Linked DNA regions of Oryctolagus cuniculus. The protein of the gene in region 1 purifies or fractionates together with the protein of each later gene. This does not show direct contact. Links are inferred from orthologs where the notes say so. Each region holds a gene or a part of one and is shown on either strand. Other genes may lie near its edges. The genes, in order: JOSD2, AHCYL2 and AHCYL1.

Region 1 (4,156 bases):
GGGGTCACCCTCGGCGCTGGCTGACCCGACCACCGAGCGGCAGCTCCGGGAGGCCTCGCAGCGCTGGAACCACGCTGTGTTTGTGGCTCGAGGGGCCCTGTGGGGCGCTGAGGACATCATGAGGTTGGACGCGGCCGGAGGCCTCCAGGTGAGGGACCCGCTGGGCTCCCCGGGGCCGGAGGGGGCCTGCAGGACCCCAGCCCCTCTGACCTCGGCCCCCGCTCCCAGAGCCTCCGCGTCACTATGGCCACGCACCCGGATGGCTTCCGGCTCGAGGGACCCCTGGCTGCCGCAGCCCACAGCACTGGGCCTCGCACGGTCCTCTACGAAGGCCCCGTCCGTGGACTCTGCCCCTTTGCCCCGCGTAACTCCAACACCATGGCGGCCGCTGCGCTGGCTGCCCCCAGCCTGGGTTTCGACGGCGTGATCGGGGTGCTGGTGGCCGATCTCAGGTGAGCGGAGCTGAGCGGGGAGGGGTCGCGCGGGCTGCAGGCCCCCACACTGACCCCCCCCCGCCTCCTGCAGCCTCGCGGACATGCACGTCGTGGACGTGGAGCTGCGCGGACCCCCGGGGCCCACGGGCCGGCGCTTTGCCGTGCACACCCACAGAGAGAACCCTGCAGAGCCGGGCGCCGTCACGGGCTCGGCCACCGTCGCGGCTTTCTGGCGCAGCCTCCTGGGTGCGGCCGGCCCCTGGAGCGGGGTCCCGAGATCCGGGGGCCGGGGGTCTGGGGGCGGGGTCCGGGGGGCGGGACCGGGGTCTGGGGGCGGGGCCCGGGGATCCAGGGGGCGGGGTCCGGGGGTCCGGGGGCAGGGGCCCGGGGCCAGGGTCTGGGGGGCGGAGGGCCGGGGGACCGGAGGCCGGGGGGCCTGGGTCCGCCTGGCCCGACGTCCATTACTTCCGAGCCCCCCAGCCTTCTCGCTCCGCGACTGCCCCGTGCCCCCGCGGGGGTCCGGCTCAGCTCCTGTCTCCCCCGCAGGCTGCCGCCAGCTGCCCCCCGGGCCCGGAATCCACCTCTGCTGAGAAGCCTCCGCCCACCCGGCCGGCCCCTCGGTGGGCGGACCCTCCCCGCCCCCGCCCTCCCCGGCCGGCCCCTCGGCGGGCGGACCCTCCCCGCCTCCGCCCCACCCCCGGCCAGGCCCCGGCCCCCCTTTCCCGGGATGTCCCTCCAGTCTCAGTAAAGACCCGAGGCTCCTCCCCCACCATCCCGGCCTTCTTTCCCTTCCGTGACGTCACGCCGCGTCCGCACTCCGCGTGTGACGCCACTGCAATGGGCGGGCACAGGCCCGGAAGCTATCGCGAGAACCTACCCGCTGCGTTTCCCAGGAGCTTCCGAGCGGCCGTGGGCGCGGTCGCAGCCAGGGGGCGGGCGCGGGGCGCATTTCCGGGATTTGCACCCCCTCCTCCCCCGACCCACGGAAGTTATAGTCGCGCGCCCTGGAGGGGCGACGGCGGACTTCCGGGTTAAGCGGCCCTGCCCGCTGGGGCCGCCGGGAGTTGTAGTCCACTTTGCTGGTGTCGCTGGGAGCTGTAGTCCGTCCCGCCTGCCCCGTCAGCGCGGAACTGCTCGTGCCGCGCTCGGAGCCCAGCGCCGCCGTCCGAGGGGATGCGGGAGCCCCCGGCTCCGGGGAGCAGAGAGGCCGACGGGGTGAGGGGCGTCGCCAGGCGCAGGGGACCTGGGCACCGCGCTGCTTTTCCTGTTGTCCGGGGAGGGGGCTGGTTGCCAGGGGAAGGCGGGCTCTGGTGTTGCTAGGCGACCGGTAGAGACCCCTCCCCCGTCACCCAGAGGCAGGGGAGGAGACTTCCGGTTTCGCTGGGTAATCAGAGACTTTGTTGTCGGGGGGGGGTCCTCCGTTGCTAGGTAACCAGCGGGGGTCCCGTTGCCCAGGGCCGCGGAGGGCTGCGTCTCCGTCGCCAGCCCCGGATGCCAGGGAGCCTTGTCCCTGGAGAGCCAGGGCGCGGGGGTCCCGTGTCGTCCCCGGCTGCCCAGGCCCTGCCCTCCATGGAGGAAGCCGCCCCCAGGCCCTGGGCCCCTGAGCGGCCTCTGCGCCCCCTCCGCAGGAGGAGCCCAGGACGGCATGTCCCAGGCCCCGGGAGCTCGGCCGCGCCCGCCCTCCGTGTACCACGAGCGGCAGCGCCTGGAGCTGTGCGCCGTGCACGCCCTCAACAACGTCCTGCAGCAGCGGCTCTTCAGCCAGGAGGCTGCCGACGACATCTGTAAGAGGTGACCGCCACCGCCCGGCCCGCCGCCTCCTACCTGGGCCTCCGCCGGTGCAGCCTCCACACAACCCCGGAGCCAGCCTGCTGCCCGTCCCCCTGGCGCCCCGGGCCCTGGGCCTCCCGCACTGTGCTGCCCCCGGGCCTTTGCACGGGCAGTTAGTTCTCTCTGCCGGGCGTGGCTGCCCTCACCGGCCCAGACTTCAGACTTCACGCCTGCATCGCGTCTGCACTGCCTGCTGTCCCTCCCAGCCACCGGCTCAGGCCTGGCCCTGGTCCACCGGCCTCCCCCTGACCCCACCCGTGCACCCCAGAAGTGGCCCTGCCTGTCTCTCCCCACTGCCCGCCTTGCGCCGCTGACCCACAGCCCCCGAGGGATCTGTGCGGGAGGTGGGGGCGGGAGGTGGGCTGTCCCCTCCCACCTGCCCCCCAGGGCCTGCTGGGGACAAAGCTGGATGAGGCTGGGCCCAGAGACATGGGGTGGGGGTGCAGGGTGGCCCTGGGCCTGGAGCATAGGCTGGGAGGTGGAGCCAGCAGGGAGCAGACCACGCAGGGCTGTGGGCGCTGGGCGAGCAGGAGGGACGGGGTCGATGGGGGGGCGGGGCGGGGGCAGGGTCCTCCCAGAGACAAGTGGGGCCAGTGGCGGCCATCCAGGCGGTCCCAGGCACTGAAGGGCCGGGCCTGGGGGTCAGCGGGCATCTCCAGGGAGGCGACGCCTTGGGTGGGCTTGCAGGACAGAGGAGGGGGATGGTGATGGCGAGAGGGGCCGAGGGGCTCTGTGCAGGGCAGGGTCGGGGTTCAGAGGTGCAGGTCTTGGGGGGCATTGAAGACAAGGATGAGTCGAGGACGAGGGGCCCTTCCTGCGGTGTGGGAAGAGAGGGGGTCCCCGCCTCCACCCCGACTCTCGCCCGCCCCCCAGGCTGGCCCCAGACTCCCGGCTGAACCCACACCGCAGCTTCCTGGGCACCGGCAGCTATGACGTCAACGTCATCATGGCCGCCCTGCAGGGCCTGGGCCTGGCCGCCGTGTGGTGGGACAGGAGGAGGTAGGGCCCCGGGCGCCGCGTGGCCACGGGGTGAGCTAGAGGGCCCACTCACGGGCAGTCTGGGCAGGAGCAGGTGGGCTGGCGGCAGTGGGGAGGACACGGGTGGGTGGGTGGGTGAGGGAGGAGCGGGGGGGGCAGGGGGGGTGGAGGGAGGTGCGGATGGGCGGCGGCTGTGCTGGAGACTGGACAGGCCTGGATCTGGTGGGCGGGCGAGGGAGGGGGTGGGGGCGGGCGGCAGGGCCGGCGACCGAGTCCCCTCGTCCCCTCCGCCCGCAGGCCGCTGTCCCAGCTGGCCCTGCCTCAGGTGCTGGGGCTGATCCTGAACCTGCCCTCCCCCGTCTCGCTGGGGCTGCTGTCCCTGCCGCTGCGCCGGCGGCACTGGGTGGCCCTGCGCCAGGTGGACGGCGTCTACTACAACCTGGACTCCAAGCTGCGGGCGCCCGAGGCCCTGGGGGACGAGGACGGCGTCAGGTGAGCGGGGGCAGGGCCCCCACCGCCCACCCCACCCCCACCCCCACGCGGCTGCCTGGGCTCAGCCTCCCCCTTTCTCCCACCCAGGGCCTTCCTGGCCGCGGCGCTGGCCCAGGGCCTGTGCGAGGTGCTGCTGGTGGTGACCAAGGAGGTGGAGGAGAAGGGCTGCTGGCTGCGGACGGACTGACCGCCGCCGCCGCCTGTCCGCCTGCTGCCTGCCCGCCGGGGTCCCTGCCAGGCCTCGCGGGCGCCAAGTGCCGGGGAAGGGCCTGGGGCCTCGTGGGCCGGGAGGAGGCCCCGCCCCTTCCCCACTCCCCCGCCCCCCAAGCCGCTGCTGCCTCAATAAATCTGTGATTTGCTGCTGGTCTGGCCACGCCCCTCTGCTCGCTGGGGGTGCAGCAGGAAGCCCCCAGGCTGCACGC
Region 2 (3,641 bases), on another chromosome or scaffold:
TTGTGAAAGGGATCCAATTAACACACACATCAGGACTGGGTAGGCAAAAGGAAGAACTGGCAGAGCAGCCTGGCAGAATTTTCAGCATTTATGATCTTCCTCATAAAGAAAGGATATAGCCAGGTGTGTGGCCTGTCTCCCATACTTCTGAGGCACGCGGCCACTGAAGAGCCAGGCTCTCAGGGTTGAGCCTGTGAGATACACACCAAGGCAAACAGCCGTTTAACCAAGTACCACCTCCCTACCTCCAGAAGTAAGGTCACTTCCAGACGAGCTCTGAGAGTCTGTGTGAAGACTAGGGGACGGCGGAGAGGGTGGAGGTATGGGAGGGAGTCTGGAAGGGGAGGCAATGGTGATCCTGGGTGAGCTGGGGTTTCCTTCAGTCTCCTTGGTCTTGAGACGTTGAGGCAGATCAGCTTAGGGGAAAAAAAGCAAGGCGAGGGGGAGAACCAGCAAACATGAGAGTGTTAAATGGAGATGGTGGAGGGGAGAGGGACTTATTTAATTCAAGATTCTAAGGGCCACTCCAGTGGAGCCTTTGTGGACCAGCAGGTCCACCTCCAAAAGGAATCTAACTCTTGGAGTGGAACATAACATTTCATGCTGCTCTCCTGATTTTTTTTTTAAATGCTAGAGTTACTCAGGAAACTACCTCTGAAATTCATAATCTTTATATGGAATAGTTCAGATTATAAAAGATACGGCAGAGAAGAAAGACTGCAGATGCAGGCTCAAACTACAGATCTCTGCTTTATCAATGGCAATGGTCAAAGAGATGACTGTCTGATGAGGCTCCAATTAGCTTTGATCATCTGGAAACAGGTTAGTGTCATCTCTGTGTCCCTCAGCCAGTTGAGCTGCAGAGAAGGGAGCTTCCTGGGAAACCGCAGTGAATTGACAAGGAAGTAACCTATGGTTCCCAGTGGCGCTGGCCCCACTTCCTGAGCAGAGGTTGGTGGGGTTAGAAATGTCTGCTGGACACCAGAGCTGTTGAGTAAATACTGGAGGCACATCGCTCTTAGAACAAGAAAGCATTAAAATGAAAGTCAGTGTTCAAGGAGAGGAAAGGAATCTGAGATAAGGAAGCAGACCCCAAGCAGGCACGGGCAGAGGTGAGTTCTTGGTAGAGCTTGTCAAAGTCATACACTCCCTCCTTACTAGCCTTGCTATAAAGAAGGCAGTGACAGCGACGGTCAAGGCTAGGAACCCAGGCTGTGTTCATTTAGTGGCTTCCAAAAGGTTTCACCTGGGGAAGGGTCAAAGCTGAGAAAGGCAGCTGCTGAAAATGCATTCCAGAAAACCCCAGGGAACAAGGAGTCTGGAATCCCTGGACTAACTCCTGAGCCTGGACACGAGGAAAAATGGCCATTGCTGAGGATTCTGAGTCAATGGGGGTGGGGGGATGGGAATGATGCACTAGGAACCTCACCCCATTTCTTTCCTTCCTCAGCCTGTCTTGTGCAGCTTTCATGGCCCTGGGGGCAGTAACCACACTCTGGGCCAAGGCTACAGGCACAGGATTCTAGATTTTAATAAATAAATAACCTAACACATAAGGTGAGCACGGCGGGAAGCTCTGATCGGAGAAGCAGCTTGCTGGATTCTTTCTTGTGTAGTAGTGGAGAAAAGGCTTGGAGTTCTTCGATTCCTTAAAACTTCTTCTGGCTTGAGTTACAGGAACTTAATACCTGGAAGGAAAAAGAAAGATGAGACTGTGACACTATCCGCTAGCGGGGCTGCTGGGCCGTGAAGAGCCTAAAGGTCTAATGGGGAGGCAGGGACTTTTCTGGAGAGCATGCTGAGGGGAGACAAGTGTGGCTCTTTCCCATCAGTGAAAAAGGCCAGTATTTCTTTGGGAGGAGAACGCTATTGTTTGCAGGAGGCTCCAAAGAGTCCTTCATGGGGGCTGGGAGGGTGGGGGCGGGGAGCAATGAGGAGGATTGGGTTTACTTGTCTGAGTTGATGTAAATGTACATGGAGGGGAGAAAAAGATCCACTCCTGAGTGGGAGCTCTTCACTGTCTAGGCTCTCCTGGTTTCTGGGGGGCCCAGTCACCTGTAGTAATTAGGCTTGAAGGGCCCATTCTTGTTGAGTCCAAGATACTTGGCCTGTTCATCTGTCAGCTCCGTCAGGTGGGCATCAAAAGTGGGCAGGTGCAGGCTTGCCACATACTCATCTGGAACAGATCACAGAGCCCTGCATGAGCTTCCACGCCTACTATTTGGCTAGTCTCCCCAAGCTAGGCCTTAAAACATTGGTGGATACCTTTAAATTCCTGAAGCTGAATGAAATATGCTCAACATTTGCTCACTGGCCTTCAATTCTTCCCTTTCTCCCTCCCTTCTCCCCTCCCTTCTTTTCATTTGAGAGGCAGGAAGACAGAGTAAGCAAGCTCCCATTTGGTTGACTTCCCCAGATGCCCACAATGGCAGAGACTGCTCTGGGCCAAAGCCAGGAGCTGGGAACTCCATCCAGGTCTCCCATGAGGGTGGCAGGAACCCTATTCCTTGAGCCATCACTGTAGTCTCTCAAGGTGGGCATTGGTGGGAAGATGGAGTCAGGAGACAGAGACCGTACTGAACCCAGGCACTCCAGTATGGGACACTGGCTTGAAAGCCTGCATCTTAACTGACAGGCCAAATGCTCACCCTTGGCCCGCAATTCTTAGGAATGTTTGCTTTCACTTTTATACTTCATGCCTTAAAAAAATAATAAAATAAAAAAGACTTAGGTGGCAGAATAACAGAGAGAGAGAGAGAGAGACAGAGAAGGATCTTCCATCCATTTGTTCACTCCCCAGATGGCTGCAAGCCCTGGCTGAAGCCAAGAGCCTGGAACTCAATCTGGGTCTCTCCTGTGGAGGGCAGGGGCCCAAGCACTTGGGCCATCTTCTGCTTCTATCCCAGGCACATTGGCAGGGAGCTGGATTGTAAGTGGAGCAGCCAGGGCTCAAACCAGTGCTCACATGGGATACAGGCCTCACAGGCCGGGGCGTAACCCTCTGCACTACAAGGCAGCTCCAAAACAACATCTGTTGCTTACTAACTCTCAGCCTTGATCCTTTCCTGCTCCTCAGAAAAGTGAGGGAGAGAGAAGCACTAGGTCTATCAGAAAGAACGCGACAGAAGCAGAACTCTGCATTTTAGGTCGTTCAGCAAAACTAACAGCTGGGGGAACTGGAAGAGATAAATAATAAGGATACTACGCTATTTGTTTTTAGTACTCTTAGTTCTGTTTCTGTGTATATTTTATTACCTGAATACACTACACTTGATTATGATTTTATGTCATTTCCTTTAAAAAGTTTGTGGAAAAACAGAATTAGAGATAACATAAGGGGGCAGGCATTTGGCTTAGCAGTTAAGATGCCACTGGAGATACCGGCATCCCATACTGGAATGCCTGGGTTCAATACCCATCTCCTGCTCCTGACTCCAGCTTCCTGTTAATGCAGACCCTGAGGTGCAGTCGTGAGAGTTAAGTAATTGGGTCCATGTCACCCACGTGGGTGACCTGGATTGAGTTCCCAGTTCCTGGCTTCAGGAGGGCCCAGCCTTGGCTATAGTGGGCATTTGGGGAGTGAACCAACAAATGGGAGCTCAAGCTCTCCCTCTCTTAAAAAAAAAAGATATGGACTGTTC
Region 3 (3,641 bases), on another chromosome or scaffold:
TGGACCCCCTTCATGTTCCCAAAGTTCTGTATCCTCTTCCACATTCATTTTCTAACATGCCCTCTATGGTTGCCAAAGGCACAGCTCAAACCAGACGTAACTTTACTTACAGACAGGCAAGACGGGAGGGGAACTAAAAAGAAGAAGCGGGGCTGAGGTCTCATTACTTATGGTGGTTTGTATCTTTCCCACATCACGGATTAACAGAAGGGGATACTTCAACATAACAAGTAACTAAGCAAATAAAAGAAGGCAAAGTACCAGTATTTATTGTTACAATTCAAGCAATTTTGTGGACAAGAAAGAGAAAGACAGATGGTAGGGTGTACTTTTACCAAGAAATCAAGCTTCCTAGTATACTTCCTTTTCTTCTTCTTATTTTTTTTTTAAAGATTTACTTTGAAAGGCAGAGTTCCACAGAGAGACAGGGAAAGGCAGAGAAAGAGAGATCTTCCATTCACTGGTTCACTCCTCTTGACTACATTGACCAGGGCTGGGCCAGGTCGAAGCCAGATGCCAAGAGCTTCATGTGGGTCTCCCACATGGGCGCAGGAGTCCAAGCACTTGGGCCATTGTCCACTGCTTTCCCCGGTACATTAGCAGGGAGCTGGATGGAAAGAAGGTGGAGCAGCCAGGACGCGAACTGGCACCCATATGAGATGCAGACAGCATCTTAACCTGCTGTGCCACAGCACTGGCTCCTATACTTCCTTTTCAAGGCCAGTTCTGTCAGCCACTCTGGAACATGGATGGCATACATATGGGAATGGGAACTGGCCCAGTGTAACCAACTGGGCACTGTTCACAGACTACACACTGAGACAGTCAGGGAAGCTGTCCGAGCACACCAATAGCTTTCAGCACCTGGGCAGTCCTGACGTGGGGTGCTTTTAGATCCTGGATAAGAGCACTGGGTAGTGAACAGGTAGGAGAGATCGGAGGATGGGAACTCACGCCTACCTGAGCTGTAGCTGTCAGTAGAGGACTGGGAGATGGAGCGAGACAAAGATCTCCGGCCAGTCTTGGTAGGGAATTTGGTGAACTCCTGCATGTCATCAGCAAACTGGATTTGCTACAGGAGAAAGACAAAAAGTTGAAAACATACAACAAGGGGAGTCTATGTACTTTTAAAGGCCTTACAATATCTTCCCTAAAAGCCAACACATCACACAACTACTACTAAACCAGCAACTTGCCTACCAAGGATGGGGGGAGGCAGCTCTCTGACCCTGTAGACCAACTACTTTTCCCATCTCAATTGTTTCAGCAGGATTTCAGTGGAGAGGGTTGACTTAAGATCAAATTTCTTTTAGCATTTGTCTAATTTGAAAAATAACTCTTACTTTCCATTAATTTTTTTTCTCTAATTTTGATCCATTTATGCTTCTCCTAACTTTACCAAAGACTAGATATAATTTTATGGTAGCTCTGCCCCCCCTGCCCCCCAAGAATATTCTCTTGTAGCTAAAGTTGGCAATGGTCTTGCTTTTTGAAAGGATTATGAAGAGATGTCTAGAAATAGTGATAGGCGTCAGGATGCCAATACTCAGAGTCCAACCATATGTCCATACTTCAGACAAACAATTTAGTATCTCCAGAACCTTCTGTACCCAGTAAAAAATTAAAATACCAGAATGTGCTGATGAATAAGAAATTAAAAGACATACATACCATATTCTAGCTAATTAGGCCTTATTTGAGGGAAGGAGAGAAATAATGGCATGATAAACTGTACAAAAAAATTTCTTAAATGAAATAAACCAGAACTAGATAATTGTTGGAGGGATACTTGGAAGTTTGGCTTTAATAAACAGCAAATAGCTTGCAATTAATATTATTTGAAGATAAATTAATAGGTGTTAATAAAGTATATGAAAATACTTCCATTACATGTTTTAAATCTTCCTTCTGAATGCCTGTTTAAGTTCTGATAAATACAAAATAAACTTTGAAATAAATTTCACCAAAATGAATAGGATGGTTTGAGAATCTAAACTGAGATTCTCCTCAATATCCGACTAAATCTAAAGGTTGCCATGGAGACTCCATTAAGCCAGGTCTAGCAACTGTCTCAGGAAATATAAACGATTACAGATTAAAATCTCTGCGCAGTGCCAGCAGCACGTTCACAGCACTTCCAAGGAAGGAACAGTAAACAACCCTTTCGTTAGCCGCAAAACCCTCCTTCTGTCAGTGTACCCTCCAGATAGGGACCCATCAGCCTGCAGTGGAAGAGTCAGGCCCACGAGCACAGCCTAGGCACAGGCAGCTGAGAACAAACTGAAACCTTGGTGCACAGGTAAGGAAGCAGTAATCAAGAGGACACAGGCGCCGGCGCCGCGGCTCACTAGGCTAATCCTCCGCCTAGCGGCGCCGGCACACCGGGTTCTAGTCCCGGTCGGGGCGCCGGATTCTGTCCCGGTTGCCCCTCTTCCAGGCCAGCTCTCTGCTGTGGCCAGGGAGTGCAGTGGAGGATGGCCCAGGTGCTTGGGCCCTGCACCCCATGGGAGACCAGGAAAAGCACCTGGCTCCTGGCTCCTGCCATCGGATCAGCGCGGTGTGCCGGCCGCAGCGCGCCGGCCGCGGCGGCCATTGGAGGGTGAACCAACGGCAAAGGAAGACCTTTCTGTCTCTCTCTCTCACTGTCCACTCTGCCTGTCAAAAAAAAAAAAAAAAAAAAAAAAGAGAACACAGACTTGCGCTTTCACCTTTCTGTCTGGTATGGTATACCCCAAGAACCCAGGCAGAGGACAGTCACTGGGTAACAGCCACACGGATACCACCACTGAGCAGCAGGCCTGGGAGGACAAACCTGGGTGTGCTTCCATTAAAAATGCCTCTCGATTCAACGTCGGATGGGGCAAGTGTTTTACTTTAGGCAACTCTGTGAATGAAGGAGGGCGCAGAGTCCACAACATGTTTAAGGAAAGGACATACAAAACCCTGACATCCAGCCCAGGCTCATACACGTAAGAAGGCATTCAATACACACCTGTAGAATATGTGAACCTTTTGAAACCCTTTCTGTAAGACCAGATCAAGCTTCAAACAGATAATAAACATACAAGCTAAGCCACACACAGCTACATCAGAACTCGATCAATAAGGATCTTTGTACAACCAAAGTAGCTTTTTAAGTTTGGCACTGAAACTTTTAATTTTCAGTAGCTTAAACATCAAAAGTGCAACTGTCTTTCAAAAAACCCAAGTCCCTGAAGTGGTCACAGGCCAGGATTTCCCACTGCACGCTGGCATGCCTTCTGCAGTCAGCAGAGTGTCTTACTGAAGAGATTCAACCAGGACCAAGGCAATGACTCTCAACACAACCCACAGCTATTTTGGAGACAGAAGAAACGCATGGGCAGGACACCATCCCTGCCCTTTCACACTGTCCAGAAATGGCCCTTCCTCCACAGGCTTCCCAGCTGCTGGCCAGGGCAGTCTGTTCAGCAACTGCTCTCCTCTCACGGCTGTTAGGATTCCCTTCCCTGCTCATCTTTTTCCAGAAGGTTCTGGGCGTGTTCCCTAACACCACTTATGGGAAGTGAAGGGAGGGAACTGCAGTACCATTTACAGTTTTTTAGATAAGAGAGGAGGGCGGAAAGAGAAAGAGAGTGTGCACACATGAGGCAGGCAACTGT

What was found.
Region 2: the proteins of JOSD2 (region 1) and AHCYL2 purify together in Homo sapiens (affinity purification with mass spectrometry; 3 studies listed by BioGRID and IntAct, counting the BioPlex papers as one, with this or other methods). This does not show direct contact. The link is inferred for Oryctolagus cuniculus from reciprocal best matches to the Homo sapiens genes JOSD2 and AHCYL2.
Region 3: the proteins of JOSD2 (region 1) and AHCYL1 purify together in Homo sapiens (affinity purification with mass spectrometry; 4 studies listed by BioGRID and IntAct, counting the BioPlex papers as one, with this or other methods). This does not show direct contact. The link is inferred for Oryctolagus cuniculus from reciprocal best matches to the Homo sapiens genes JOSD2 and AHCYL1.

Annotation. Positions count from the first base shown.
Region 1 is NC_091449.1:7,410,336-7,414,491, forward strand, and holds JOSD2 (josephin-2), read left to right. Parts: upstream 1-1,279; 5' UTR 1,280-1,649; intron 1,650-1,862; 5' UTR 1,863-2,079; coding exon 2,080-2,225; intron 2,226-3,137; coding exon 3,138-3,263; intron 3,264-3,539; coding exon 3,540-3,734; intron 3,735-3,821; coding exon 3,822-3,921; 3' UTR 3,922-4,097; downstream 4,098-4,156. Other genes in the region: ASPDH (aspartate dehydrogenase domain-containing protein), read left to right, coding at 1-148, 229-452, 526-680, 981-1,024. UniProt on the Homo sapiens protein: Cleaves 'Lys-63'-linked poly-ubiquitin chains, and with lesser efficiency 'Lys-48'-linked poly-ubiquitin chains (in vitro). May act as a deubiquitinating enzyme.
Region 2 is NC_091434.1:165,629,234-165,632,874, reverse strand, and holds part of AHCYL2 (adenosylhomocysteinase 3), read right to left. Parts: intron 2,177-3,641; coding exon 2,056-2,176; coding exon of another isoform or gene 2,052-2,055; intron 1,689-2,051; coding exon 1,682-1,688; 3' UTR 1-1,681. UniProt on the Homo sapiens protein: May regulate the electrogenic sodium/bicarbonate cotransporter SLC4A4 activity and Mg(2+)-sensitivity. On the contrary of its homolog AHCYL1, does not regulate ITPR1 sensitivity to inositol 1,4,5-trisphosphate.
Region 3 is NC_091438.1:60,314,545-60,318,185, forward strand, and holds part of AHCYL1 (S-adenosylhomocysteine hydrolase-like protein 1), read right to left. Parts: intron 1,073-3,641; coding exon 961-1,072; intron 1-960. UniProt on the Homo sapiens protein: Multifaceted cellular regulator which coordinates several essential cellular functions including regulation of epithelial HCO3(-) and fluid secretion, mRNA processing and DNA replication.